4 linked regions of the Lepisosteus oculatus genome follow. The protein of the gene in region 2 purifies or fractionates together with the protein of the main gene of each other region. This does not show direct contact. Links are inferred from orthologs where the notes say so. Each region holds a gene or a part of one and is shown on either strand. Other genes may lie near its edges. The genes, in order: ndufs1, protein PML, raraa and zfyve9a.

The links.
Region 1: the proteins of protein PML (region 2) and ndufs1 purify together in Homo sapiens (affinity purification with mass spectrometry; 3 studies listed by BioGRID and IntAct, counting the BioPlex papers as one, with this or other methods). This does not show direct contact. The link is inferred for Lepisosteus oculatus from reciprocal best matches to the Homo sapiens genes PML and NDUFS1.
Region 3: the proteins of protein PML (region 2) and raraa purify together in Homo sapiens (affinity purification with western blotting; 6 studies listed by BioGRID, with this or other methods). This does not show direct contact. The link is inferred for Lepisosteus oculatus from reciprocal best matches to the Homo sapiens genes PML and RARA.
Region 4: the proteins of protein PML (region 2) and zfyve9a purify together in Homo sapiens (affinity purification with western blotting; 3 studies listed by BioGRID and IntAct, with this or other methods). This does not show direct contact. The link is inferred for Lepisosteus oculatus from reciprocal best matches to the Homo sapiens genes PML and ZFYVE9.

Annotation. Positions count from the first base shown.
Region 1 is NC_090707.1:32,796,017-32,803,181, forward strand, and holds the start of ndufs1 (NADH-ubiquinone oxidoreductase 75 kDa subunit, mitochondrial), read right to left. Parts: upstream 3,010-7,165; 5' UTR 2,945-3,009; intron 2,374-2,944; 5' UTR 2,370-2,373; coding exon 2,291-2,369; intron 593-2,290; coding exon 501-592; intron 268-500; coding exon 160-267; intron 1-159. Other genes in the region: eef1b2 (elongation factor 1-beta), read left to right, coding at 3,801-3,880, 4,792-4,914, 5,134-5,257, 5,883-5,949, 6,506-6,631.
Region 2 is NC_090700.1:59,363,990-59,371,918, reverse strand, and holds the start of protein PML, read right to left. Parts: upstream 3,008-7,929; 5' UTR 2,949-3,007; intron 2,230-2,948; exon of another isoform or gene 2,140-2,229; 5' UTR 2,044-2,139; intron 1,043-2,043; 5' UTR 1,039-1,042; coding exon 551-1,038; intron 1-550. Other genes in the region: protein PML-like, read right to left, coding at 4,151-4,716, 5,132-5,235, 6,719-6,837.
Region 3 is NC_090723.1:6,530,942-6,538,746, reverse strand, and holds the start of raraa (retinoic acid receptor alpha-A), read right to left. Parts: upstream 3,007-7,805; 5' UTR 1,715-3,006; coding exon 1,540-1,714; intron 1-1,539. UniProt on the Homo sapiens protein: Receptor for retinoic acid. Retinoic acid receptors bind as heterodimers to their target response elements in response to their ligands, all-trans or 9-cis retinoic acid, and regulate gene expression in various biological processes.
Region 4 is NC_090704.1:3,610,976-3,618,615, forward strand, and holds the start of zfyve9a (zinc finger FYVE domain-containing protein 9), read right to left. Parts: upstream 3,017-7,640; 5' UTR 2,770-3,016; intron 2,473-2,769; exon of another isoform or gene 2,266-2,472; intron 1,256-2,265; exon of another isoform or gene 1,086-1,255; intron 1-1,085. Other genes in the region: btf3l4 (transcription factor BTF3 homolog 4), read right to left, coding at 5,676-5,722, 6,552-6,611. UniProt on the Homo sapiens protein: Early endosomal protein that functions to recruit SMAD2/SMAD3 to intracellular membranes and to the TGF-beta receptor.

The sequences.
Region 1 (7,165 bases), on a different chromosome or scaffold from region 2:
CCTTTTGATATGCAGCTACTTTTACAAAACCACATGAAAAGGTCTTTCAACAGACATTTAACCACCAAAACTCCATGTGATTTTCTCCATGTATCAAAATTCAAAATCCTTTGCACTTATCATTTGCTTTCGAAATCTTGTAATTTGGAAGACCCGTACCTTGGGTGCTTTCTCAATCTCCACCAGACACATTCTACAGTTTCCAGCAATTGAGAGTCGGTCGTGATAACAGAAGCGTGGAATCTGAACTCCGACTTTCTCACAGGCCTAGAAAAAAAAAAATCAGTTGGGTCCGAATTAAATGACAGGTAACTATTAATACTTCCTATCTGTTTTCCCCCAAAATGTACTTCACCATTTAAAGGATAAATAAAACTCATTACCCACATTTCCAAAAGTGGACTGACCTGTCCATACAAATATGGACCACAATACCCCTGCAGTTTCACAAAGTTTACACTGATTTTCAAGATGGTAACCATTTCGGAATACGAACTCACCTGAAGCACTGTAGTTCCTGGTTCAACCATGAGGGGCTTTCCATCCACAAAGATCTCAACAAGGTTACTGGCTGCTGTAGCTGTGGTGCGGACTGCAGACACAAACGAGAAACCCAGCGCAATGAACTCTTCCTCATTCGTTTTTGTAACCAGTCTCTCAGCAGTATGCAAATGCAAGGCTGGCTTGAGGATCACCATTTTCCAGCTGCCTCTTCCAATTCAGGTTTTACTAAGTTCCTCCTACTAAGATAAGATCATTTAATTGCCCATATACAATTTCTTGGGTTAGGAATTTGTCTTTTCACATTGCCCAGCTTGCTCTCCATGAGACACACAGACACAGAAGCTTGGGGTCAGAGCGCAGGGTCAGCCATTTATACGGCGTCCCTGGAGAAGCTGGGGTTAAGGGCCTTGCTCAGGGGCCCAACAGAGTAGGATTCCTCTGCCGGCCACGGGCACAGATCCTTAGCCACAGTGTCACTGCTCCACCCTTGTTATTTGTTACTCCCTTGTTACTTTTTGTTAAGTAACGAGAAGTACACATTTCCATCCATCCATTTTCTAACCACTTCATCCAATTCGGTTGAGGGGGAGCCAGAGCCAGGCGACCAAAAGACACTAAGCAGGATCCACCCAGGACGACACCCCAGTCCATCACAGGGCACACACAGACGCAGACGCACACCCTCACACCAGGGCCAGGTTTCCCAGAAGCCAATTAACCTGCCAATATGTTTTTGGACTGTGGGAGCAACCGGAGCACCTGCAGAAAACCCACTAGAACCATGAGAGAACATGCAAACTCCACACAGACAGTACCCTGGGTCCAGAATTGAACCCAGGGCCCCCACGCTGTGAGGCAATAATGCCAGCCACTGCACCACTGTGCCCCATTAAAAGAACAATCTCTTAACCCTATTGAAACCGGTGAAATGAGCAAAACAAACAAGATTATCTCCAGTCGAGGTAGTGATGAAGGCAGTGGTGTGCAAAACCAAGCTAACAAGAAGGATGGGATGGGCTGTGAATATTCCCCCAGCTGAGTGGGATTACAAGCTATGCCCTGTAAAAACTGTTCATGCCCCTCACAGAGGATCATGTTATTGGATGGGGGTTGTAAACATAATGGGAAACAAATGCAAAAGAATTTAAGGGTCTGGACTGAAAACAAGTTCCACTACTATCTTATTTTGCAAAGCGTTTCAAATAACACTTCTCAGCACTGTATTCAGCCCGCATCATGATTTTAAGATCTCACAAGACTTGTGGTACAGGAAAAGATTCAGCACTAATTTTTTTCCCCCCAATTATAATTTGTTTGTGAACGTGAGCTCATAACCAGCCTATGAGCTTGTTTCAACTAAGGCTACGGTTGATTTGCTTGAAGTGCTGGAAAGAGCTGACACGCGATCTCTTCCGATTCCACCACACACCGCCGATCTTTCTGGGGGAAGAGTTTGAGAAGCACAAGTACGGATCCTCAGCGGCGTAGTTTATTCTACCAATGCGGATTTGTACAGCAAAATCAAAGCAGCACTACAGCTGCCACACAGGGCTGGGATACCCAAAGACATCAATGCTCCTGCTGTATATACAGGTGCTCCTAAACACCACTCAGAGCAACAGCCCAGGCAGAACTGTCTTGCTAAAGCACCGCAAAGTGGCAACATCCACCAAGAGAGATGAACAGCCAGAAAGACCCCAGGCAACACTTGTCTAATGGACATTCCCTCTGTTTACATCTGTGTGCTCAGCTTTAGAGATCACTGATAGATATTTTTTGGGCTTACCATTGTTCTTCCCACTTATGCAAGCTGGGGAACGGGCAGCCCCTGAAAGTGCACGTCTCACCGCAGGTAAACGCAACATGTCGCTGGAAGAAAAACACACATCAGACATTGACACTAGAAGAATGGGTTTCATGAACACACAGACGACCCAGAAACGGCAAAAAGGTCACACGACTCTAAATCCCATGTCTTAACACAACACGGTCCGGCTCTATCTATTTAAGACACTTTAGAAAATGAAATCCCAAAGCTACCTAATGCATCCTCTCACTTTATGTGCAAAAGAACAGCATTAGGACTAAAACACAAAATGTTGGCGTGTACAATGATAAGAACCTCCGACATTCAAAGTGACACTTGGTAAACAGGAGGCAGACCAACAGCTCACAAAGAAATAAATTTCATCTCTCACAAGTTAATTAATTTTCAATTCTTCCATTACACCACAGAGCTCAGGTTGTTGCAGGGCACTGCAAGCTACATAACTGAAGAGTCAAGGGCACAGAAAGAGATAACAAACCCCTTCTTTTCACTCTAAAAAACAGCAAACTTCAACGTCTTTTAATTGTAGCTTGACGACAGTTTAAAAAGTAAGCATCTGCATGCCCACACACTAATCACTTCAACTTCAGAGGTCTGTTTTGGTCATCTTACCTTGTCGCTATTTGGCCTTCTAGACCAGAACAGCGGCGCTCTACCAGTATGGCGACTTCGGCAATCTCCGGAGAAAATAACGAAAATGATCAAATAACGTATACCGCAAAAGATTTATTTTTTTCCAAAGAGACTAATTTTATTTTATTCTATACCAAATACATCCATTTTGCCTAGCATATGTCATTATTATTTTTATTTTGATATTAAAGAACCTTTCACCTTTAACCTTCGTTTCGTCACTTCCTACATGAATGAACGTATTTACCTAGGTATTGCATTAATTTCTTTTTCATGTAAAGTCAGAAAACCCCCATCAAAATAGTATAAAGTGAGAAGATAAAGAAATATTGCTTTTTATTTTTTGGAATATTGATTAAAATGTAGAATTCTTCTCTGAGAACCGCCTGACGCGTTTAATTTCTCTTCGTTTCCACACGATAAGCTCTGTCAAATCATTGCTTCTAGTTTAAACTTTTACTGGGATTCTGCGAGAACTTTCACACATCAATTAAAGTCTCTCCGAAGTGCTTCGGACGTGCATTTCTTAAGGCTGTGTGTTTGAGACACGACGGATGGATCTTTCTCGTCATGCAAATTCAAAGTTGGATAATTTGTCATTTTCCCCTAACACATTGAAAACTTCGAATAAGATTCGTTCATTATATTATATAATAGGTAGTTCTTAATAAATTAGTTGTCCGAGGAGGTGAGGGTGGAGCCAGTGTTGTCGTCAGAGGTATAAATGTCATCGTAAGAAGAAACTCGTTCCTTCTCTCTTCCTGCTGGACCGCTGGTGTGAAGAAATCGTACCCCCGGGTCTTTGAAACGAGGTCTGCACAACAAATCTAATACAATGGGCTTTGGAGATCTTAAAACCCCGGCCGGCTTGAAGGTCCTCAACGACTTTTTGGCTGATAAAAGTTATATCGAGGGGTCTGTACACGGTATACGTTTTTTTTTTAATTTGCACGTTGGGAAGTTTTTTTGAGCACGCCTCACGAGTCATGTTAGCCGTGACACGTTGGCGCCAGATTAAACGAAAGGGGATTTTATCGTTTAAAAACTACAAAACCGGATTAATAAAATCACCGATGTTAGTTTTTTCCTATTTAAAAACGGGTGTAGTTCGCGATTCTGTTACGTAAACGTTAAAATTGACACGTAACTCTTACCCGGCAAGGCCTGTGGCCTGCTCAGTGATTAAGGACTTGGGAGTGCGGTTGTGGAGAAAATGGGCTGATAATATGTAAAATACATCTTAAACGTTTAATATTAAAAAAACGAAACTAATGAAAGTAAAACGATTTTTGTACTCGATTCTCATATGTTAATCATATCCTGACATTGTAGGCCATAGGCATTTTTACCGGGCTTAACTGCATTGCATTATCAGTATATTCTTGTTAGGAGCCCATTGAAAGTGTCCCCGACATCTGTCTGCGCCGTGCAAACTCCTTTTAGCACAACTTCAGTAAAAAAAATAACAGGACGGGATGTATTTGGATTCATTTGAAATGGCACAATTTTTTTTTTACCCTTTCGTTGCTCGGGTCGATTAGTTTTGCGGGGGTGCTAAAAAAGAAAACGGACGCATCACTCATTCACCCAGCTGAAATGAATTTATTCTCCTCAAATGTGAAATTCGCCTCATGCGTACTATTTTGGAAGATGTGTCGCAAGATTGAAGAGTTGTGAAAGACTGAATCTCGGAGAATGTTTTGACTCCTACGTCTATCGATTAATATAGTTGATAACCGTGTCCAACAGTGATGTTAAGTGCCCCTTTCAGGAAGAATCCGTTGTCTGTACCGTACGTGTAATGTGGGCTTTTATTTTCTGAACAGATACGTTCCGTCTCAGGCAGATGTCGCTGTGTTCGAGGCCCTTTCCAGCCCGCCTTCCGCAGACCTGTTCCATGCCCTGCGCTGGTACAATCACATCAGGTCCTACGAGAAGGAGAAAGCAAGGTACTGGCTGGCAAAGCAAGAGAGGAAATTTAAAAGCCTTCTTTGTGTTGTAAAATGAAGCCCGTGTTAACTGGTGGAGTGATGATCGTTTTCACCATCTTTCGCCTGAGCCTGTGATGCACAGCTTATCAGCTCTGACCCCAACCAGTTCATTTCGGTTGCAGGAGGTGGTGTACGCTATTGTCTCCCATCTCATACTCCCGTCCCTTATCTCCACAGCCTTCCTGGAGTGAAGAAGCCTCTGGGGAAGTATGGCCCAGCTGGAGTGGAAGACGTCACCAGTACCGAGTCGAAGGAGGAGGACGACGACGATATCGACCTGTTTGGGTCTGATGAGGAAGAGGTGAGTGCGTGTGGATTCTGCACAAAGCCAGCTGAGAGAGTCACTTTTGCAACGGGGGGGAAGAATCATTTTGTAGATTTGTTACAGATTATACGTGGATGTGGAAAGTGAGGTGTCCAGGGGTTGGACAATCCCCAATTCATCTTTTAACAATGAGTTATCGGTCTTGTGCAGCCAGGCACTGCTGTTGATTGTAATGTGTAGCACTGAGCTGCCTTGCAACACGTCCGAGTTCCACGTGGAGCCCTTGTAACCGATTCACGCAATCTTGTTTCGCAGCTGCATATCGTTCGATATAGAGATGCCACAATGGCACCGGTTCATAGATAATCATATTACAAGCAAATTTCAAGCCGCGCGTGAACTGAAGTGTTAACTGAAGGCGGCGGCTCTCCTAGAATGGTTTCTGCCAGCTCCTCGTCCAGATCGTGTTTTTCCCTTTGTGGCTGGCCAGAGTGATTTTTCTTCACCATCTTTCGGCTGAAGACGTGATGGACATTCTGATGTCTGACGGCCGCCAGCAGTCTCCTGCTTGTCTGTGCGTGTATCTGATGCTTTGTTCCTGGTCTGTCCGATTTTCTTTTTTTTTTGGGAGGTAACTTTCTTGATTTCTCCCCCCCCTTAGGAGAGTGAAGAGGCCAAGAGGGTGAGGGAGGAGCGTCTTGCGGCCTACGAAGCAAAGAAAGCCAAAAGTAAGCTTACCGCCTATATTCTGTCCCCGTGGCAGGGAGCAGGCTATATCTAGCAACCCTCTAATATCCCTCCCTGACCTGTATTGCACCAAACACACCTTTTGATTGCGTTTCCGGGCTTGATTCCGGTGTGCTTTCAAACAGCTGGAAAGGCTTGGGAGTTCTTGAGTACCTGTAGATTACGAAAACTGGTCATGGTGGATCTGCTCATTTGTATTGCTCATGGATTTGCAGTGATGTCAGTAGTGAATTTATAGGTGATCTGGGTTTTATTTCAGATGCTGCCCGTTGGGGCACAAAAAAATGAAAGTGTTTTGTTTGTGGGGCTCGATTCTTTGGAGGGGATCGCAAATTATTTTGAAGGGGGGATTTTTCAGAGCGGTGATTTGTTCGCTGGAACAGTGATGATCTAACTCACCATCTTTCGACTGAATCCCTGATGGACTGTTATTGATCTGATGGTTGCCAGCGTTCATATTTACAGTAGAGTTGATGCAGCGGTGCAATGTGCTTTAGTGTGCCGGGTGACCCTCGTCTTTTTTTTTTTTTCCTCCAGAGCCAGCGCTCATCGCCAAGTCCTCCATCCTGCTGGACGTGAAGCCGTGGGATGACGAGACAGACATGGCCAAACTGGAGGAGTGTGTCAGAAGCATCCAGATGGACGGTCTTGTCTGGGGATCCTGTAAGTGTGCTTGAATCAGTAATTTTCCCCAGCAGGGGCCGCTAGTGAATAAATCCCAAGTCTTTCCCATGTGCTGTATAGATATTCTGTATAATGTAGCACACGACTTCCCCTGTCCTTCAGATTTTGGGTTTTTATTTTAGTTCATAGCAAAAGAGAATTATTGTAGTGCTGTTCTCTGCTGGACTAAAGCCAGCCACGTCCTGTTCCTGAAGTATATTCCTGGAACATCTAATTCTATGTTGATTAGCAAAGAAACATTTTTTGTTCTAGGATACTTTACACTTTGGAGTAATATTTGGTATTTTACTGCATGTTCAGGTTTTTTGTCCAGTGAAGGGATTGATTTTGTTTACTTCAGGTGTTCTCTTGTTTAAGTGTCATTTTGACAAGGTTCTGACAAGTTTTTAATCAGCATGATTTTTAGATATGTTGCTTTGTTGTCAATGAAATAGTGGGTTCATATATATATATATTAAAGCAAATAAAATGTAGGTATTTGGAGAAATTGGTATTGACTGTGGAGACAACAGT
Region 2 (7,929 bases):
TCAAGCTTATTTTCACACCTCTCAAAAGGCTTTTCCTTGGCATATTAATAGAGAACAGGTCTGATAACACATGGTTCTTTAAAAACAGATATTCAGGCAGTAATATACTGTACTGTAGTTCATTCACACAGATAAGAAAATCAGAAACGTGCCCTCTTACTGAAAATCAAATTAACATGAATTAAAACTGGGATTTTGGTCAAATTACCTTGAATTTGTGGAAAACAAGTTTCAAGTAGGAAATAATTTAACAGTGATGTTAATAAAATAAACCTACAATACAGACAAAACCTGTATCCTGTAAATCTTCAAGTTAAAGGAAACCAGATCACCACTCACAAACTTCTGTTATCCAACCCTTACTCCAAAAGATACAGGGTTCTAGTTTACAGTTACAATTGTTACGCATCAAGTGTAATATCTGACTGATTAGAAACACGATAGTGGACTGCTTCTTATGAACATCTTTAGAACCAAACTCAAGAGGTCTAAAATTGGAACACCAAGGCACAACGCTGTATTCCAGTCCAAAAGTCGGAGCGGATCTAACCTAATCATCTGCTTCTCGTGGCTGGGACAGTAAGGGAGCCTCTTCTTGCGGGTGGCTTCCAGGAAGTCTGGGAAGTCCATCCTCCTCAGGTTCTCCACGCTGTCCACTGGGTGTCCTTCCTTCTCTGTGAAGATCTGATGGGCATCAAAACAGCTCTGGCACAGCATTTTCTCACACTCGAAGCACAGGAAGCTTGCCCCAGCTCTGCACCTAGAGCATGGAAGCACGCTGGCTTGGACAATCTGTCTGTAGGTATCAACCCTGGCCTTCAGCTCCGAGAAGAGCACATTGTTCTTCACCTTGGGGAGTTCTGTGGCTTTCTGGCAGGTAGGGCAGGTGACAGAATCAGACTTCTCAGACCTTGTTAGACACTCCTCGCAAAAGGTGTGAAGACAGGACAACAGCTTGGGAGAGGAGATGTTCCTGGTACAGATTCCACACAGCAGGAACTGTTCTCCATGTAATAGGGTGCCTGCCTGATTAGCCATTGTCCTGTTAAAAGATGGAGAATCCAGAAATAACCCAGTTGCATCAGAGTGTATTAGGGAAGGCACAAGAACACTTTTCCAATTCCGTTCGAAAATGTGTGTTGGATTTGCAAGCAGGAAAAGCAACGTTGTTCCGACATCACAGTTCGACCGATTCAGTTTGTACTTAACATTTTTTTCAGTATCTACACTGTGTTGCTTCCTGATGTTGACTTAACTTTATAGATATAAAAATTGGAACTGCCCATTATATTTGTCATGCATGTGCCCGGTTTGAAACCACCTGTTGTTTAAGACCTGATTTTTTGGCAACGTCTGCTGTATGGCACAGAGAAAGAGGCCCTGCAGTCAGGATTCTCTGACGTGCCCCTTGTTACAGCACTTCATCTGTTTGACATGTGAGCGCTGGACAGGAGAGAAAGATTGCCAGAGCAGTGCAACACTCACTGACATCACACCAGGTCTGAAGGTATCCTATATGCTGCAGAAAACTGTCTTCCTAAAAGCTGAGAAAACCTTGGCCAACTGTAACATCCACCCTACCCATGCAGTGCTGAGTCAAAAGTGCCTATTTCCATTTGTGAATATGGCATACATTCCATATCTATTCAGTGTTGCTAACTGATATTCAATGCTCTTTCAAAATTATTTTGCCACAATTCATGTTGTGGAATCAACACTTTATACCTTATCAATGAGGAATATTTGGTAAAATGATGTGGACAAAACACTCACTTGGCATTGGGTAGATCTCAAATTAAGGACATATCAATGCAAAGTTAATTTTCCTCTATGGAAATTCAAAGGCAGCTCCATCTAAGGTCCGTGAACACCAAATTTCACTTTTAAAGTACTGTTTTGCAGACCTGGTTTTGTTTGTACTACAGAGAACGTTCAAAATTCATATAATACACAGGTTTGCATATGAACAACTTTAGCATAGGCTGCACCAGGTTAACTAGTATAGTATTTAAAATTGGAAAAAGTGTAGAAAAAAATACCTACTGGATAAAATCGGTGGGTTAAGATGTCCACTGTGGTCTCTTCACCTCCATATTCCAGTTGCTGCGGAGTGACATCACCGTAGCAGGCGTCTATAAGCTTTTTCAAAATAAGAGCCAATTCTTTGTATAAAAAATACATACCGGATTTACCTCCCTCTATTACAGAATATCACGGTTCGTATCACTGCTTAGCAGTACGACATACCACTTTTACAATGAAAGAAAAACGAGAACAAAGAAAAATAACCGTTAATCTCTACACAACAAGACCAAAATCTAACCCAGAGGTACAGTATGGACAAAAACAAGCAAGATCCTGAACTGCTTTTTATACTAATCTTGCCTTTGTGACCACTCAAGTCTCACACTTCGGCTGTATTTAAAATTTAATTGAAGAGTACAGTATATTTGACAGTTTTATTATTTTACAGATATCAAAACGATATAAATTTATAAGAATGGTAAATGAATCAATAATTATCGATCGTTCAGATTATGCTTGTTAAAAACCCCGATTGCCTTCAGCCACATTACTGCCGGGTGCTACCTTGTGTTTGTTACAAAGCTTTTATGCGTTTTTCTGTGCATTAATAGTATATCAGCTGTATTGACCGTTTCAGGATTTATGGTGGTGGTGAAAGACCACACCCTGGAAAGGGTTAAAAGCTGCGCAGGAAAACGAAAACGGAGGTGGCGAAGCAGAAATGGAAATGAACAGCCTGTACCGCTAACCTCCCTTTCACTTCTAGTCTGACGAAAGGGTACTGTGCATGAAATTAAATGCAATCGGACGATGAGATGTGCCAAACATACTGTAAGCCATATATAAACCTGATTGCAGCTGTGATTAAAAGAACAATACTTCAGAATGTATTGTGTTGTATGAATTATTGTTTTCAAACATACAGTACGCACGGATCCTTATTCTCCAAACAAGTCTCATTTTCCAGCGGAGAAACGGGGTTCCTTCCTCGATGTCTATAATTTTGCCTGTTAACACCCCCTACTGGCCATTATTATGAAACGATTTGCTTAGCTTAGCAGATCTAAAGCAAAATTTTGAAATCTAATTTGAAATATTTAAGATTAAGATCACTTTATTAGCCATATACAATTTCTTGCATTAGGAATTTGCCTTTTTGCATAACCCAGCTTGCTCTCCTTGAGACACAGCACACAGAAGGAGAGAGAGGCTTGGACTCAGAGCGCAGGGTCAGCCATTTATACAGCGCCCCTGGAGCAATGGGGGTTAAGGGCCTTGCTCAGGGGCCCAACGGAGTAGGATTCCTCTGTCGGCTGCGGGATTTGAACCAGCAACCTTCCAGCCACAGGCGCAGATCCTGAGCCACAGAGCCTCCGCTCCGCTTGTATTTTATAGGTGTTTAACATAGAAGAATATGTGAATGGCCACAATGCAATTTTTTTTTACATGTAAAATTATATTTCCTTTGTCTCGTCATAATATTAAACACACCCAATTAAAACAACTAATAAAAACCAAAAGATTATGACACTTTATTAAATCCTTAGAGATCACGTGGACCTGAAAAAATACATTACTTTATTTATATTTAATAAAACAATAAAATGAAAGATAACAGATGCTTTTCCTAAACAGGCAGTGTCTTTTATAAATTTTCTTTCTGCCTTGATCATAATTATTAGAACTTGGCACATTTGATTCTGAAGTCCAAGAAATCACACTGCTGTGGAAATAAAACAGCCTCTAGCAAAACGCCCATTCTGTTAACTTAAACATTGGTATGTAGAGAAGCAAAAGGTCTTTCCTTCTCAGTGGTTTTAATTTAATAAACGCAAATGTTAATTTTATTTGCCTCAAGATTCCTGTGAACCAAGTCTCTGAGGCTCAACTGGCGCTGAAGCCAGTTCGTGTTTCAGAGACAGCTCTGCTGGGTTAAGGCTGCTTTTGAAGTTCCAGGAAGTCAGTGATATTGCCAATTGTGGCTCCAAAGCAGCCCTTCCACAGCTCTTATTTCAGGGGCTCCAGTAGCTTCTGGAGCCTCTTAGAGGGACTCTGCAGGTGAGACTTCTAGAGTAATTCCACATGCAGCCAGTTTTCTTGCAGCGTGCTTGGAGATCACTTTTCCTTAGATGAGTGGCCACCGAGAGTTCCGAGTTCCCACCTGTGAGAGAGTGAAGGTGTGCCTGACCACCTGCTCTGACCTGGGCGCCCAGGCGCGGAAGAGCCGCTGCAGAGCCTTGACGTCTTCCAGAGCATTGTGCGCTTGGTAGGAGGTCCCGAGGCAGGCCCTCACCAGGTGCTCCTGGCGATAGCTCCGGATGGAGCTGTGCCTGAACAGCTCTCGGGCCAGGAGGAGGGTGTCCACGAAGCCGGAGGTGGCCTGCTGGAAGTCCTCTCTCAGGTGGAACTCATCCAGCACCTTGAGCAGTACAGGACAGTCAAACCTCCTGATGTTGTGCCCTGCCAGAAAAGGGCGGTTCAGCATGCGGAGGAAGGCCACGAAGGATATCAAAGCCTCCCGGTGAGTGATGGTTGGAAGGGCCTGGCTGTGGAGCCACAGCTGTCGCCTCCTGACAGTGAACCCGGTGACAACTGAGGCCCCTCTAAGGATTGGTCGCCGAGGAACCATGTAGACATTAAACGTGTGGTCTCCACTTACAGCGGACAACTGTACGATATCACACCTTGGACCTGTTTGCAAAGGCACAATTGATGTGTTGTTACTGCTCCGTTCTCCAAGACTGCAGTCAAAAAGTAGTGTCACAATCTGCAATCAGTCCTTTACCCCCCACTCATGGAAAACAATGTCAGAGAGAAAATAAAGCTCAAACTTGCTGAAAATGCACAGAAGAATCATTGTAAATAAATCGTATTGTTAGTCTACTCCCCTCTTCCCCATACATGACAAAAGGGGATTATAAACAACTAGTAATAACTATATGCTGTACATCAACATCCTTGTCAGTTTGTAAACTGGCAGTACGACACATACTGACCTCAGCTAAAACATCTGCAACAGGAATACTTTTCCACAGTGAGGGGTTTACAATAGATTTAAACTTAATTATCTGAAGAAAGATACTATATAAATGTAATATATAATTACCAAGTCCAGTGGTTTCGAGATCGAAGAAAACAAGACTGCGGTGAAGATTACATGAGGCAGAAGAGGCCACTGCGAATGCATTACATTCCATTGGTCTTTTAATTCTGTAAAAGAATTAAAATGATTCAGATTTTTCACCATTATACTGTACGTATGGACAGCAACACACAAAGTGTTGAAATATATATTAAAAACATTGAAGATACCTAATCTGTAAATTCTAGAACAGAAGATGAGGCATTAGGTTTTATACTGAAATTGTGCTGACCGCTGTTTCACTTGACAATAACATTGTTCCAAGCAAGAAACAATTACATATATTATAATTAAATTAGATATAAAATGTCTCCATTTACAAAAGGGTATGTTCCACAAAGTGTTTATGTGTACTTTGGCCTGAGAAATGTAAAAAATAGAAGAACACAGCTGATCCACAGCTGAATTATGAAATACCCTATTTAAAAACCCTAGAAGAACTGTATTTACTAATGAAAGTACAAAGAAAATGTGTGTTACAATAGAAACATCTTGAGACAAACTGCAGCTTTCTTGATGTAACCAAAAGACTAAAGTGGAAGGAGAAAATCAGTTCCAGACTTGTAAACTGTAATTCCAGCCTTTTCCCCCGAGAGGCTGTCCTTGTGTTCTCCTTTCAGAATGGTCCTGAGCAGATGGACTGAGCCTTGACATACACCTGACATACAGTACCTTCAAACTGCATAACCATCTGCCTCCGAATCCACCATCATCATAATGCTGTGTACACTTTACATTTGTTACGAAAAAAGACATTTCTAAATAACAATCACTTCATCTTGACATGATACTTCCATTTGCAAAAAATTTTCTTTGACAATATCCGATCAACACAATCAATTTAAGGTAGATTTCCTTATATACTTTCTTTCTCATTGTAAATTCAATCTCAACAGGTTCTCAACCTCAAAGTTAGATTTAATAATTTTCGGATGCTGATTTCCGACAGCCTCTCCCCCCAGCAAATCATTTCGCTTCCACCACTCATGAAAACACATTTACAGAAGCTTGGTGATGCTGCTGGGGATCAATCAGTCTGTTCTGAGCCACAGCTTCACATATTTCAGCAGTCTGCTGTTTTGCTTCCATTTGAGCTGTGGCATTCCCCTCTCATTCTGTACAATAAAGACCACACACTATGCTTTAGACCCTAGCTTCTCCTTTAATCCATGTAAGACGATAACCCTATAAACATAAAACTGGAAGCAGTGTTGTCACCTTGTGGCCTAATCTCAGAAGCTAAGGAAGAGCAGGGCATAGTCAGTACTGGTGTGGCGTTGGTGGACCAGTAGGAGGCACTCTTCTCACTGGATCTGAATTTACTAGCTGACACCTAGTCCAGTGATCAGAGTTGCTGTGCATTAGGAGGAATTGTCCTTTGGGGGAGATATTCGCTCGAGGCCCTGACTACCTGGTCAATAAATATCCCATGCTACTTCTGGAAACAGCAGGGGTCTTATCCCTGGGGTATGGTCTAAATTTCATTCTTGGATTTAAAAACGTGGCCTCCCTAAGATTCCCTCTTAATGAAGCAGTTTCTTACTTCTTCACCTGTGTAGTAGGGCTGCAGGCACACAATGGCAGCCGTGCATCACCCAGGTGAGTGCTCTGTAAAGCGCCGTGGGACTCTCTGGGATGAGAAGCACTATACAGTATACAAGTAAATGCATTATCTATTTTAACTGGAAAAGGTTTACACACTTAAGACCATGCAAAAAGCATACCGCTCATGTCACAATAAGTAAGGAATTCACAAATACATTCCACAAAACTATTCCATTTGGAGACATCTGCACTAAGCAGGAACAGATAATATACCATTTATATTATAAGTTCAGGTGGGTAGCTGCTTCAGCATGCGTAGGCTGCAAAGGAACAAGTAACAGGTTTATTCCCTGCTGAAAAAAAGAAGAAAGAAAACACAACGTTTCGGTCGTGGAGAGGAAGGCTGATGAAGGCTCCACGGCCGAAACGTTGTGTTTTCTTTCTTCTTTTTTTCAGCAGGGAATAAATTTATATTATTATAAAATATAAATTTTATTTATAAAATACTGATATAAGAATAATTATATATAGACTATATACTATTTCTATGGCAAATCTATCATGTATCCACTTATCGCATTGACTGTATGAACTGTAAGTCAACCTGGCTAGAAAAACTGCTAAATAAGTTTTAAAACAGCTGTAATTTGAATACATTCCTTTACATGTTGGTCTAGTGGACCATGGAAAATGTGTATTAATATGTGCGATGAAATCAAATAATCTAAGACATTATATTTTTCTCTTTCTATGTATATCTCATTTAATAAAAATGTACACCAGACAAACATATGAATCATAATTACTTAAATTATTATTTAAAAAAAAACAAATGAGGTATTTTACATTTTGATGCAATGACAAAAAAAAACTCAAGCTAAATTTATAATCCAGTTTAAATTTACAATGTGTTGAAGATCAAATAATATCCATGACTGATTCCAGATATCATTTTAAAGTGCAAATATTTTTAAGATTCATTTTGTTGATTTGTGAAAGATCTGTTATTCTGAAATCATACCGTTTAACATTTTTCATGTAACTTTTTAATTCAATTGATGAAAGAAAGCATTTAAAGAAAATCATACTAAATTACAAATAATTTTAGAACACATTATTGTTCCAAAGTCCTAAATTAAACAAATTCCAGAGTCCTTGAGAGAGGACTAAGTACACAAAAGGTTCTCAACATGCAATAACGGGAAGGATTATCTTCA
Region 3 (7,805 bases), on a different chromosome or scaffold from region 2:
ACAACAGGCTCCCGATGTCGCCTTCCCCGGAGGTGCAGCACGTCGCGCAGCCTTAGTCCGGCGATTTCTACTGTCCCTTCTTCCGCTTCTTATAGGGCTTATATGCACAAATGATCACCAGAATTCAGTTATTAGAAAAGTCTAATGAAAATATCAGATAAAATAGCGGGCGACCCCGAAACACGATCCAACGAATGTCCCTCCTGACTCTGGACACGACGGTTTGACGACACGGACCGATTATGGGTCTTTGAGTGCAAAAACGACAACGATGATGACCTTTTCTTCTTGTCTTCTGTCGAGTACAAACTTCGTATTCGACAGCAGCGTTTAGATATAACGCTTTTTTTTACAAAAAAAAATCGTGAACGATCGGTTTAGAAATGATGACATCCCCGTCGCCCTGTCTACCTTCGTTAAACCACGAAAGGCGCGTCGTTCAATACGCTAGTTTGGCACAAACTGCGATGACTAACGATTTAGGGAGGAAAAATTCTTTCCTGCGTCCGGAAGAAACAAGTTTCGGAAAGGGACTAGAAACAGAAAATCTGTTTCCAAAAAAAAACTCGCTTACCAACAGCTGCTCGGCCCATAATTGTTCTTACTTGGCATTCAACCGGTTTTAAAAAGCCCTGCACTTAAATTCAAATATACATTTACTGTGCCGCGCAATTCTAAAGATTTTCGCCTTCTTAAGCACAGCAAGTACCCACAAAAACAGTCAATCTGTGGAAATGTAAAAGCAGCGCGTCCTGTATTATCCACAAAAACCTCCGTTACAATGCAATTTAACAAAGGTGCCTCCGCAAATGAGCTCAGTGTCCTATGCATTGAAACACAGCATTGCAAGCACGTTTCTGTTCGCTCTTTTGGAAATGTTACTGCACAGTTACTGTTACAACTCGCTACATGTACTGTAGGCCGGGAAAAAAAAGACAAAACCCGTAGTCGCGTATGTAGAGCGCCGGGCTGGCCGGGGGCTACAGCGGTAAAGCCCTCTGTAATGGTGATTACTACAGCCGTCCAAACGGTTTGTGCTTGAAGCACAACCATCGAGAGGGTATAGATGCAATAAGCTATTGACCAAATAAAACATGTTTAGGTGAAAACACACAGAGGAGGTGTAGCAAACGCGCACGCAAGGGTCTCCACGTTCACACGGCGAGGAAAGCCGGCAGACGCCGAGGTGGTTTAACAGAAGCCAACACGCTAGTAAGGAGCTCGTTCGGAAAGGACAACATGAGACATTGCAAGCGAAACACAAACACCGAGAAGGTCACTCAAGCAGCGCCTTAAATCACAGCACCTGCGCTCGCTCTCTCTCTCACACACAATCGGGGCCGCGCTAATTTAAACTCGTTGACGAGCCTGCCGTAATTACACGAAGCGGCCGGGATACAGATCGATCCAGACCAGTGAAATTGCACCGTAGGCGGAAGCCCACAGAACGCGAGTTGGGCTACACGTAACACGCGATCGCTCAGACACATGTCCCCCGAAGTGAAACATTGTAACCCAGGAGCAGAAATGTCCACCTACAGTGATTGGAGCCGGTCCAGTGCTGGTTTCTGATGGAGCTGCCGTAAGGGTGGTGCGATCCGGCCACGATCGTCTTTTCCTGGATTAAACATCCTCGGTTCTGGTTGTAGTAATCCACCATTAGGAACGGGTTCGGACTGGGATTTAACCCCACCACGTCCACACTCTCATACATGATGCGTGTTGGCGACTCCAAAAAAAATAAAAATAAAAAAAAACCCGATTGAAAGTAATATCCCAACAACAACAACAAAATCTTCTCTCGGTGGCAGGAGCAACAAGAACTACTCGCACAACTTCTTCTGATTAGCTGTCAAACAACATCTTAGAGGTAGTGACTGTGGGAGATCTCCCCCCCCACCCCACCCAGCCTTGCTGGGGGAAAAAAAAAAGTTTGGCTGTACTGATGATTTGATCTTTTAGAGAGAAAAAAAAACAAACAGCAAAGTTCCGTCCCAGCAAGAAGACCAATCACTGTGGTTGTGGATGAAGTAACGGGCAGTGATTTCAGTGTGGGGTCTGGGTGCAGCAGCTAACTAAGTGGGTCTCCCCGCATGGTCCGAGAACAACTTCATTTGCGGTTTTTGTGCGTGGAAGCGCTGGCTGGAGAGGCGGCGATTCGCATGCTGGCGCGTCTCCCCCTCCGTGTGCTCCCGAGCGGGCCCCGGGCTGCGCTCCCTGCTCCAGACGGGTCCCGCGGTGCCAACTTTTCTCCCGCACCCCGCCACAAAACTGTTTATTTAAAAAAAAAAACTCCACAAAACTGGAGAAGGTAGGCAAGAAGGGAGGCAAAAAAAAAAACTGAAGTTTTTTCTTTAAAAAAAAAATACCGCGACACCCACACGCCAAAAAAACAGCCCAGCTACGCCGGTACAAATCCCGCACGGAACAGGCTGGCGTCGTCAGCCGCTCTCCCCGTACAGGCGCGACATCTTCACGGGCAAGGAGGAGCGCGTCCTCACCTCCACAGCGCAAACGGACCGGACCGGACCACCCTCGTCCTCCTGCCTCGGTGGCTACAGTCTCCTCTTGCCCTGCGACGCTTGCGGTCGACACCGACTGGGGGCAGGCAGGCACGGAGGGAGGGAGGGCGATGGAGTGGAGGAGGGGGGCACTCTTTTTTCAATTTCCTTCCACCACATCGGGGGGGGGGGGAGACCCTCCCCTCCCCAAACAAAACAAAATAAAATAATTTTAAATCCAGCCGAGCGCCTCGGATGTGTCGAGGCGAGAGGCGCGGAAGCTGTGTTTCGCTGGCGTCGCAGATTTCGCGTTTTTAATCCCCCCCGTTTCGCGTGACTCGATCCGTCTCCCCCCCCCCGACTCCGTGTTTATTGCTGTCGTGCGGGGATCTCTCTCCTCTCTCACGCCAAGTCTGTTCCCAGGCAGGGTACCCGCTTGCCCTGCGCCGCAGATTGTGACGGCAGCGAGCAACTGCGACCGGACCCCACCTACCTCCTCTCTCCCTCCCTCTCTCTCCGCTCTCTCTCTCCCTCCAGAGCGCCTCCCCGACTTAACCCTTTCCGGACTCCCGCAGTCACACAGCCCCAGGACCCGGGCCAAACCGCCCGCTCTCTCGGTACAAGCCGCAAACCCAGCGGCTCGGTGGTGATGGTGGAGGGGTGTGTGTGTGTGGTTGAGGGAGGGGAAGAGGATTAACACTTGTCGGTTCGAAATCAAAATAGGGGAGGAGGAGGAGGAGGAGGAGGTGGTGGTGGTCGTCTGAAACAATTTTAAAAAGCAAACTAAAACCGCGCCGCCGCAGTTTTAGGGACATAATAAACACGCACACACACCCCTCCACCCCAACAGGAATGCCTCTCTCGTACAGCACTAAGTGACGCCTCCTCTTCCACCCACGAGCCCAGCTCCCACGCCGTGACGCGGAAGACCCCCTTTTCCCATCGTCCCCTTTTTCTCGCAGGTTTCCCGGTCTCCCCCCGGACTAATTTGCCTAATGTTATGCGGGTGAACTTTTCCTGAACCCGCGGAAGCCGGCCGCCTCACCTCCGGGTGACCCACACGCCGACTCCGGCGCGCTCCTCCGCGTTCCTGTCGCTGACGTCACTCGAGGTTCCCCCACCTGGCCGCTCGTGCGCATTGGCACGCGGAGTCCCCGAAAAGTCCCACCGACTCGCAGGTGGGAGGGAGCTGGTCTGAGAACCGCACAGCACCCAGGCCGACGTTGACCAAAACGCGCACAGTTAAATCTTTCATCTCGCATCGCGCTTCCACACAGCGGAGGCCGCGCACGATGAGCTTAAGAGCGACGGCCTTTCCCCCAGACTTTGAAAAAGTTTGCAAGTTTTCTGTATTTGCAAAACGCCACTTAAAAATAAATAAATAAATAAATAAATAAATAAATAAATAAATGGTTCAGATTGAGAGTCTTTGTTCATGACAGAAAAGAAGTCACTTGTTGAAAGCATGGTCACACACACAGCCTGGCAGATCTAATACTCAAGAATATCATTAGACTGCAATTCCGTGAGGACTAATAGGATCTAGATAGATAATGCCGCACAGTGCCGTGACAGTGAATACGACAGTCACGAGCAATGCAATGGACTTGTTTAGTGCCCTGCAAATTCAGACCAGGTCAGAACAAATGGCCTGTGTCCCTCACAGAGAGCTCTACGGATGGGGATGCACTAGTGTATTATTTATGGTACATTTTGAGGCTGTAATCAGTGTTTTTTCCCAGGGCAAAGTGGACTGATCGGACAGCAGTCGGTCAGTCAGAGGGAACGAGGCCATCTGGAGTGGAAGCAGCCATGTTCTGTGCAGAGGCCCGGGCAGCACGGGGGAAATCCCAGGAAAGCTCCCAGCGGAGCCGAGCCTCGGGCCCGGAGCCTGCCCAGCCTGCCGGGCAGTTCGGAGCTCCGACTGGAGGGCATTCCCCAGGACTCTGCAGGGGAAGGCCTGCTGGGGCCTTGGCAGCAAACTGTGACACTAATTTAACACCAGGGCTTAAACTGTTTACTTTTACTGATAAGGACAGCAGGCGGGGGGGAGGGGAGGCTGAGCTCTGTGCTCTGTGCCATTGGAGTCCATTTCAGAGGAGATTCCAGAGAAGGGACGCCAGGACCAGCGGGACCGGGCGAAGGAAGACTGCAGTGGACATGGCCAGCCCATGCAGGAACGGCTCCCTTCAGATCCCTCCGCTGCAGGGCTACGCTGACTGTGCACAAATGCGCTGGCACAGGACCCATCTGCCTTTCCTGCTTGCCAGTTAACTGCCTGATATCTGTCATTAATGCCCCGTTATGTGCATAAGGGCCTGCTGCAACAGCACCAAAAGGTCAGGAATGACAGCCTCCCCGTTTGAAGGCTGTCTGCGATTGTGAGTAACCTCTGCATGCGGTATGAACTTGGGAAATTAACTACAACATGACTAATTATTCCAGGTCTGGAGGAGAGTCAAAAGAAATGGGGGAGGCCTGCGTTTCCAGCACCAGGATGTTGTACTTGAGGACTTACGTCAGCCGCTGAAGAATGAGTCCCTGGAAGGACCCCAGGCGACACTGACATTCTGTACTGGGAGCCTGGTTTTGCTGGTACAGCCTTCAAATGCTCTGTCATTAAAAGACCTCAGCGCTGCCATATTGGTGAGCCAGTAATTACTTCGAGAGCCACATAATTGAGTGCCACAGCGAAGACACTGAAAAGGAGCTTGCCGGAGAGCCAGAGGTTAAGGGCATGTGGCCTGTGGGCCTGGCAGGAGCCAGCAGCTGCCCAGGAATGCCAGACCTGTGATGGGTGCCAGACTGCCCTCCGTGGGGTTGAGCGAAAGCAAGCCTGCCTGCGCACACACAGTGAGTGGCGGTGGGGCAGGACCCTGGGTCTTTGGGAGGTGAGCAGGAATAATGAAAAGCAGATAATGAGGGTTAGGTTCAGACCAGACTGGGGCTGGGAATTCAGGGAGGTTTATGAGAGGGCAGTGCGGAGGACATCCTGCCTGGATCTTTAGGGTGCGAAAGTATTTTTATTGCCCCCCCCTCCAATCAGAGGTGTTAGGGGGGCAATAAAGATTAGACACTGCCACCAATTTACCCCCAGCCCCCCCGCCAGTGAAGACAGCTGTGCCACAACACCCTATTGTTACAGCGATGCCACCCACTGCCGAGCTGTGAGCCTCTCCAAGATCTTCCGCATCACCTGTTTGCCAAACAGAGACTGAAAGTTTAATGGTGGCTTTCATGGCAAGGGGAGATGGGAAGGTCCTGGCGCAAGTGTCTCCAGCCAGTGTGCAGTCGGCAAGCATGCAAATTACCAAGCAACGGAGCTATCCTGCGTTACATCTTGCACGAGGTGAATCTGGAGTGGCCCCACCACCCTGTCACCTTCTCTGCACCGGCGTAATACTCCCTTCTTCCTGGCGACCTGGCCCCTGTGCGAAATGCCTGCACTCACGCCCTCCTCTGGCCTCTCAGAGCTCACTCGTTTGTTGCCTTGCAAGCTTGTCCGCCGTCATCAGTCCCAGAAGAGCTCACGTCCCGTCGGTGCCCCGCCCCCACGGGAGAGCAGCGACAACGGGGAGAGAGTCATTCCTCCCACATCAGTCAGCCATCACTCCTCAAGGGGGCGTCTGAACGGAGCCCAGGGCTGAAGCCTGGGCAGCAGTCGGGGGGAAAGGTGCGAGCAGCACGCCAGGGCAGAGGAACTCTGGGACACAGATTCCTGAGCTCTTTTTAGATCTTAATAAGCAAAACCAACATGGCTGCCATGGCTGTGGTTCTTAGAAGCCGTAGAACTTGGGGAGGTTCCTGTGCGTCACACTACACAGCGCAGCTCTCCGTATTCAGACTATCTTAGGATTGGTCTCGTCTCTGTGGCTAAGGATCTGTGCCTACAAGGTTGCCGGTTCATATCCCGCGGCCGGCAGAGGAATCCTACTCCGTTGGGCTCCTGAGCAAGGCCCTTCACCCCAGCTGCTCCAGAGGTGCTGTACAATGGCTGACCCTGCGCTCTGACCCCAAGCTTCTCCCTGTCTGTGTGTCTGTCCCCATGGAGAAAAGCTGGGGTCTGCGAAAAGATTAATTCCTAATGCAAGAAATTGTATAGGGCTAATAAAGTGATGTTGTTGTTGTTGAAGCGCTCGCACTGTGCTCCCGTGTTCAGTATAATAGTAACAATTCTATGACTGGAGCCTAGAAGCTGTGCTTTACGTGTTGAATTAGATCGCCAGCCAGACTTTCCGTTTAATTTTCTGGTTTCCTTACAGCCCGACAGCTGGTCGCCTCCGACATCCAGAGCGAGATAAGACCCCGGCGAAGCGGGCAACTGCTGAATCTTGCGCAAGATCTAATGAGATCAGTGCAGGGCTGCAGGGAACCGAACAGCAAGGGGGCAGCCAGCCAGGGAGCGGCCCTTATCCACGCTCGAGAGACTCTGCAGCAGGCAGGAGAGTAAACACCTTCAGCCGACTCTGTGCTCATTCCATCTGCGGTGAGCTGAAGCGTTCCAAGCAGTGCCGGATCTTATTCCCGTGATGCCACAGTAAAAAAATATATATATATATCTGCCTGCCCGCATTTCTGCTCAGCAGAATTCCAAGAATCCAGCTGGCACCTCCGCCTTCCTCATTCCACAGCGCCGAGCGACACAGCGCTCTTAAAGACACAGAGTGTGCTCACCCACGTCCACGGCTCTCCCCACTTCCCTTCCCAGCAGACGTGCGCCGATACCCCTGCTGCTGTCGATGCCGCGCGGCTGGATCTGTCTAGGTTGCCATCTTGGCATGCAAACGAGCTAAACCAACCAGCCAACAGCCTTTGCAAAGGCCACCCGGTACACTTGTAGGTGCACGGTAGAGGCTGCAATGGAGCTGAGGGCGTAGTGTGGCGCACAGGATCTTCCCCAGCTCACCTCTCTGTGTTCAGACTGTCTTAGGTTTGGTCTTGTGTCTGCGGCTTTTGTCATTCACCCTGCCCAAAGCGCTCGCACTGTGCTCCTGTGTTCAGTATAATAAGAAGAATAATAATTTTATTATCAGCACCGCTCTCTATCGATTCGGAATGACCCGCTCTTGGTCAATCCCTTGTAGGGGCACTGGGGAGATGAAGACAACTTGCAGGCTGCTGCAGGGATGTGCTCTGTCATGTCAGGCCGCAATGCCAAGATGCAAGAATACAGCGCTTCACTCACATAACAGTGCAGGCGCACCTGGGGATAGGCAAACAGCAGGGGTCTCTGCTGTGCACAAAGTAAAAAAAAAACCGAACCCCACAAGTCCCCAAGGTGCTTGGGCAATCGGGCTACAGCCT
Region 4 (7,640 bases), on a different chromosome or scaffold from region 2:
ATTTTATTTCACTTACAAATCACAACATGTCAACTAAAGCTCCAACGCGTTGAAGAGCTGGGAACAAATAGTTCGGGCTTATCTTATTATTAAGCCAATGAAGGCGTTGGATTGTGTCACCGAGAAAGGAAAACAATGGGAGTGGGGGGTCACCCTGACCCACTGGTGTACCAGGAAAGACTCTCAGTCCCGTCACACCCACCTCCTCCCATCATCACGTCCCAGGGGGCATCACTTCAGCAGCAAGTGCTGGTTTACAAAACCGAGGCTACAGAGCGAGCCGGAGTATTTTCTGATCAAGCTCAGGCGGGTATTTATATCCTCCGCTTCATTCCAGTGGAGAAATTAGCAGAAAGCAAAACCTCGTGCTGGATTATGCAAATGCTCCCATTACAATATAAGAAGTTTCAGGATGGCGTCAAAGTGACAGTTATTTAAGAATGGATTAGGGAGCCCTGGATTCTCTCTTTGAAGTACTCCCTCCCCAACACTGAGTATAATCACAGTAATCTTCCGTCTTAATTATGCTTATAAAACAGAAGACTCCAGCATATGTACAGAAACTGCAAAATAAGGAGGGATGTCGAACCCAACCCGATTACTTCAGAATCTGTATGAGGAATTCTTGTGCAGCGAGTACACACTCTTTGTTAAGGACTAGATATGGATGCAAAGCTCCAGACCCTAAAACAGAGCCCAGAAACACGGTTTTCTCCCTCCAGAAATCCGTTGTGGAGAGCAGGGCGGTGAAGCACCAGTTTAACGGCTGACAACCTGATCCTCCGCATGAACGAAAATGACAGCTCACCTGAAGTGGGGTGAATCACTTTTTAAACAGCCGACACACGAAGGCCTGCCACCCCAAACAGTGAAGTGCCGTGAGCGGGACCAAAATAAAATACCTTTTCCATACACCGGTTTTTATGGGCTTACTGACTTTTAGGACGCGCCTTTACAAATCCAGGTCTTAAAACGATGCGAGCGACGCAACGACGTCATACTGAGAGTGTGTGTTGTGTGTGTGTGTGTGTTTTTTTTGTCTTAAAACACAATTTGAAAGAAAATAAACCGTGATAGGCGGGTACCGCAACAGGGCGAAGACTTCTCAAGCGGGTTCCTGCTGCAGCAGGGCAAAGAGCCGGGATACCACCGCCAGGGACAAATGCAGGTAGCCGAGAGTCTTATAAAACGATGAGGAAGAGGAAGAGGATAACATGCCATCGTGCCTTTTCTGCGTGCACCGGGTGGGTGGGTGGGCGCTGAGGCGTCCTCGGCTGACCATGCAGGCCACGAGCGGCTTTACATTCGGCCTGTGACGTGCCGCCCCGCCGCAGCCAATCACGGCGCGGCGTCGGTGCGCACCCCGGCTCGAGACCCCACATCGTTCCGCCGCCCACCCGTCTCCGCGAGCCGCTCAAGACCCCCTCCTTGCAAAGACACCAGCGAGGGAATGATGTGGCTTCATTCCACTTGATAAAATATGCAAATTCCCCATGTACGGAATGACTCAACTCCCCTACTGTGACATAAGATCGGCGTCTTTTCAGGAACAGATTTTCTTTTTCTACGATTGCAGTCATCTAGACATCCAGCGAGCAAATTATTATAAACTAAAAAAAAAATACAATAGTGGGGTATGATCCGAGACGTTGAGCTCCTTTCTGTACACATGACAAAGCTACTCGGTGAGGAGTTTCTCTCCATAGGCTAAACTGGGCGATAGTCAGCTCTTGGGGACATAAATCGGCAATAGCAAATCCGATCTCGAAACACGCAGGACTCCAGGACGCCGACGGATGCCCCAGACCAATTTAACTTTTATCTGAAAGGAAAGGGAAAGTCACTCGCTCTCTCCAAATCACATGCTGTTGGGGTGTTTTCCCGCCCCGTTTCTCGAAAACAACCAAAATAAAATGCCACCCCAAGACGAGGCGAGAGAGCGTGTGCGATTCAGCAGTCTCAGCTCGACACTTATCAATCGCCTGAAAGGGCATGCGTCCACGGCCCAGGCCAGCCGTGAACACGGGTCAGAAAAATGAACAGGACGGGGGTGCTCTCCGCATTGAGGAACAGCGGCGGGGGGTCCCCCCGATCCTGCACCAGTCCGTCCCGCTGTCACTGCGGCTGGGACAGGGCTCTGCCGCGGCCGGGGGGGTAGGATAAAGGCCGGGCTTCAACTTCGTGTAAACAACGGGACCAACCGCGGCTTTACAAAATAAAAACACTCGTGCTGAAGCCACAGCCCTTCGCGAGGAAAGCGCTTACCCTGTGTCCCGCATTAGCCGGAAAGCGCCAAGACCGTAGAGGAGGCGGACGACGAGACCAAACTCTATGATGCACTTTTGGAAATAACAACAGCCTCTGCAGTGACTTTCCACGGCCGGGCTCAGGCATGATCACCGATTTGCAGAACGAAATGCGATCACGCTCCGGGGAGCCGGTTCCTCTTCAGATTATTGTACAACTGGCAGAGCACCGTGGTCTACGCTGCTAAAGAATGTTACACGCTAGGATCTTCGTCTGAGGAATTGCGACCCTTTAGGTTTTATTCACCGGCAGGTTAAAAAAAAAAAAGACAACAGACACCTTTCCAGCCTCCGATTTCACTGCGTTTTCCCGAAGCTTGCAATTTTATTTTGCGTGTAAAATGAGACACACAGCCCGCTTGCAATCTGGGGTGTGAATTAATTAATATCCACACACCCCCCCCTCCTTCAAAAATCATTGCTTCAACATGACACGCAACAAACTCGAACGTTTCTGTCTCACCTGCGGTCCCCTCATCTTCTCAGGATCCTAAAACGCCACGAAACACGTCCCTCCACATCCCGCGTATTTTCGGGGAACTAACGGGTCCGAAAGGCTTCTCCTTGGATATCTATTTCTTTTTTTTTTTCTATATTAACGATCTATAAGTCTCCTCGTTTGAACTCCCGATGTCTCCAGGCTCCAGAACAAGTCGGGTAGTTGAGATAGGGAACAGAAGGACACCTCCCCCAAGTATTATAACGTAGAGAAGGTTAAGGAAACTGCACGGCAGCACGCCATTTTGGCTCCGAGTGCTGCAAATATTTATCGCTCCGCCGGGTTCTCAGTTGGAGCCGGAATGGCATCCGCGTCACACTAGCCCTGTTCGACAATTCTCCCAGCTCAGGCCAATAGAATCTGCGGATAGTGTGAGTCAAGAAAAACACAGCCCCCTCTAGGCCGGAGGAAAGGTAGGCGCAGGCATCTTATGATGCAAAATAAATAACCGTAGCTCTTCTACTTAGGTAGGCAAACAGGCAATCGGCTTGTTATCCCGTCTTCTTTACAATGTTTCTTGAACCGAGATGCACAGCCAGAATAGAGTGTGGTCTGTGCTGTAAAACAAACATCGATAATTATGTCAGAAACGCCAGGACTCTCATGCTGCCCGCGAAGGAGCTGCTAAATAATTATCCCCCCCTCACTTAAGCACGTGAATATTGTGCCTTAATACGAATATACAACTATTTTTTTTTAAATCTTAAAGTCTGCGGCAGACGGCATTTTACACCGAAAGCTCGCGTTGCGGATGAAGGTGCAGAAAAATTAACCTGGTCGCCGGTCGGCTAATCTCTGTGAATGACTGATGCGCACTAAGATTAAAGCGGCGAAAGGTCTGTAAAATTTGAACCGTGGAAGACATCGCCTCCGGCGCCTCATTGGGCGCTGAAAAAGATGCTACAAGATAGCGTTACGACTCGTACAAAAAGTGTCTTTCAAACCGGGTTTCACTTTAAGTCAAGGGCTCGGAGAAGCAATGCGAAATTATTAAAAGACGAGACCGCTTTTACAGATGTCACAGCGATCGTAGATTTCTGAATTCCTAAAAGTTGGGATTAATTCGACTCACCGTTTTGTCGGGATGTCACAGTAATCGGACGGATCCGTGAATTCCTGAATGCCTCACACATTTACCAGTTGGATTCATGAGACTCACCGACCAATAGAAAATGTAAAAACGGAGTTAAATCGTGCTGTGACTCACACCATGATCTGCAGTGCATTCACAACTTCTGAGTGCACGTCTGAAACACTTCATCTTGCGTGCACCTTATCGTGTGACCTGTCACCTTGAACAGACACGGAGAGTACTCCCTGGGCACCGCTTGCCCTGCATAAAAGCTTCATTTTCATTGGAAGCAAGCGTGTGGTACAGGTTTCTAGAAAAGTCGTCACATTTACACACAAAAATCGTAAAATAAACGTGAAAAGCTTGATATTTCTAATACATAAAGCGATTCACCCGCATATAATTACAGGTTATGTTTTAGCCTTTGTATTGGTCAGAAGAAATGCTATTACGCCTTTACCTTAACTTTTTATTGGCCTCCATCTCTGTCCAGGGATGCTAGTGAAACTGCATTAATACGCCACTAGCAACGATGCCGGATCGCTGGCAAAACTTTCTTGCTCAAGCTGTTGAAACCTGTGCGACAGAGTAACCAGTATCCAGCTCTTTTCCCCAAGTACAGATATTAAAAAGAAAAAAAACAGTGCCCCCTGTTGGATATTTTCATTTTGGGGGAAAAAAAAATGACCGCTGGATTATTAATTTGTTTCAGGTTACGGAATATATAGAAAATGTTCATCGAAACTCGCTGCGTTAATTGATGGATTATTTTGACGGCTGGGCATGAAACCTCTTCCCCGCAGGCCAGTTACAGGCACCGCTGCAGTGGGAAGTCGATTTCAACCCGGGAACACAGAAGCATGATTTACAGTCCCCGGCTGAACCCGGATTATTGCCCTTAGGCTCCAGGCTGGCCGAACTATTAAATCGGCTCACTCAAGAGATCCGGTCCAGCTGCCCGAGGTGCGAGGCATAAGAACATGTGAGCAGGTACTAATGAGAGAAGACTACCCAGGCCACTTGGTGCTTAAGCAGTTAACTGATCCAAGGCCACGTGGCTGGGTAGCTTGTTCCATACACCCACTAAATTAGCCTTTGGGCGATAAGAGCATCGTTTGAGCTGCGACACTAGCAGACCGTGACTGGGCTCCAGCCAGCCAGAGTACGACACCCCTCCCATCGATGCCAATTGTCCTGCAATGCTTTATGGGGTTTACAGTGTGTGAAATGACCTTACAAAAGCTGGTTTCTGAGAAGAGAACGGACAGTACTCATGTCCCTTGTGCCCTCATGAACATCCCAGGGTCAAGCCAAGGTGATTCACAAGCACCATTCCCCTTAATAAAACGGCTATCAAATCTGTTTATCCTTTACCAGCCGTATTCATACAAAGTGTTGCGTTGTCTAATGAAACAGCACCATATAGAAAAGGTTAATCAATCTTTTATTGTGGAGTTTGCAAGGAGAAAAAAAAATTAAATAAGACTAGCTTTTCACCTTCACCACTGCATTTGCAGCCGGCATACCAGGCCGCTTTAAAACAAAAAATTAAATGCTGGGAACCCTTTTTTTTCAGGAAATTGTGTCGATGGCGTTTTAGTGCACAAATCGGTCCAGAATGGAAGATCCCGAAGCGGGCAGCCTGTTAAAAATACAAAAAAGTCTTTTCGTCCGTCGCAACGCTGAAATCATAACTCTTGTTTCTAAAGGTTAAAACACTGAAACGAGCCGCTTCCCTCGGACGCCGTCGCCCCTGCCCGCCGCAGGAAGAGCTCCGGCCCCCCCTCTCCGGCCGGCCTCAGTTCGCCTCGTTCTTGGACGCTTCGTCGAAGTTCTCTACGAGGTCTGCAAGGGGAGAAAGAGTCGGCCAGGTGGGGTCAGCTCGAGAAACGCCAGGGCTCACACTTCAGCACAAAAGACACAGCCTTCACGTCCCGCCATCTCCTTGCTCTGGCTCTTCTGGAGGCTGTGGAGCGGGTAGCGACCGCCCCGTGCCTTCTCATCGCAGACATTTCAATCCTGTGACGATTCCTTTTCATGAACGCGCCCCCCCCCCCACCCCACCCCCCCGGTCACGAGTCCGTGAGTAATTCAATAAATTTCACTGCACTGCTCCGGCATCGACCCAAAGACGTAACCAGCACTGTGCCGACTGCCTCAAGCATCTGGTGTTTTTACACAATCTTTAACTCCCTCCTACTACAGCCATCTGGAGTAAAGACTTGATTTAGGGGGAAAAAAAAACAGCCAGCTTCAGAGGAAAGACCAACAGCAGTCTGCTGATGCATAACCACACAGTTCTAGATGCAGGAGAAGACGCAGAAGACAAGTATGCACGTCTCAAGGAGATCTCGGTCCTCTCCTCAAGCTGCAAACACATTTTGTCAGCCATGTCCATCAAGTAAAAAAAGTTACTTGCTTCTCCGGTCATGCATTTCCAACCCAACAACAAACATTCATAGATATAACGAAATTAGAGAATATCATCTAAAGTCGTCACTAAATTGAGCGATTCAAAAGCTACTTATAATTACATAAGTCAATACTTTTATCAGAGTGGTTCAAATTAAATAACCTTTTTTGACATGAAGGTTCACCAGACTCTTAACACAATGTTAAGTTTTAGTTAATTCATCTTGCAGGTCGGATATAATGAGCGTAAACACATCAGTACCTGGGACATCGTCGTCTTCTTCGTCAATATCCTCTGCTTTGGGTGCTTTGTTATCAAGCACTACATGGGACAAAAAAAAAAAGCACGTCAAGTTTACTCAATCTATTCATTTATACAAGGTTTGGATCCCTCAAAAGATATTCTTTTGACATACTGCCAGCTCTTTTCAGAGAAGATGGCAGTGAAAGAGTTCTGCAACTTGAACAGATGAGGAGGCAGGGTGTATGTGAGCAAACATGTTGGGGTGGGTAAAAAATATGCCTTTCCATAGGCATTATGGGTGCACCTCACAAAACACTCCTGCATTCTGGACATTCGAAAGCACTCAAGTCTTCATCCACTGCAGCCAACATTAAAGTATTGTAAAAATTGTAAATAACACCTGACCCATGCGAAATTGTAAAACGCAATTTACAATATACAATAAATACTGTGAGCAAATTGTGTACCAGTGATGGATGCACCTTCACTGTGGCGCAGGGCAGTGATGCGCTACAAGGCCAGTGGCCCAGAGATGGCCGAGTCTCAGGAACATGCCTACACTCCCTCACCCCCCCGCGTGCGTATCGTGGGGCGCACAGCCGAGAGCCGGGACACGGGAGGCGCGCAGCTGGCGATCACAAACCGGGAGGGCACGTAAACAAGATAACTCTTCACTGGCAATTCTAACCCTTCAAAAAAAAAACACAGTTCCCTAAAGAAAACGACACACCCATCCATTCTCTCACCCCTTCATCCAATCTAGGGACGTGGGGGGAGGGCTAGAGAGTGTCGCAGCCAGAATTTTATATTGGGGGGGGGGGGGGGGGGTGACATTTTTAAATGATGTTATTTGCCTTCTAAAATAGGATGTTCCACTAGAAAGGTGTACTACTGCACTTCTGTTTGGCACTGGGGGCGAGGCGGGACTGACGCACAAGCCAGGGCCAAAATCTCACGCTGCTTTCACAACGAGCGGCGTAGGGACGGTCCACACCGACCCCTGCTAACAGAGGCTACGTGTACGCTCTCTGAAAAAACAGCTTAGATGCGTCAATTGTTTCCTACATTTACTTTTTATTTTGTGGGTAAATTGATGACGGTGCAGGA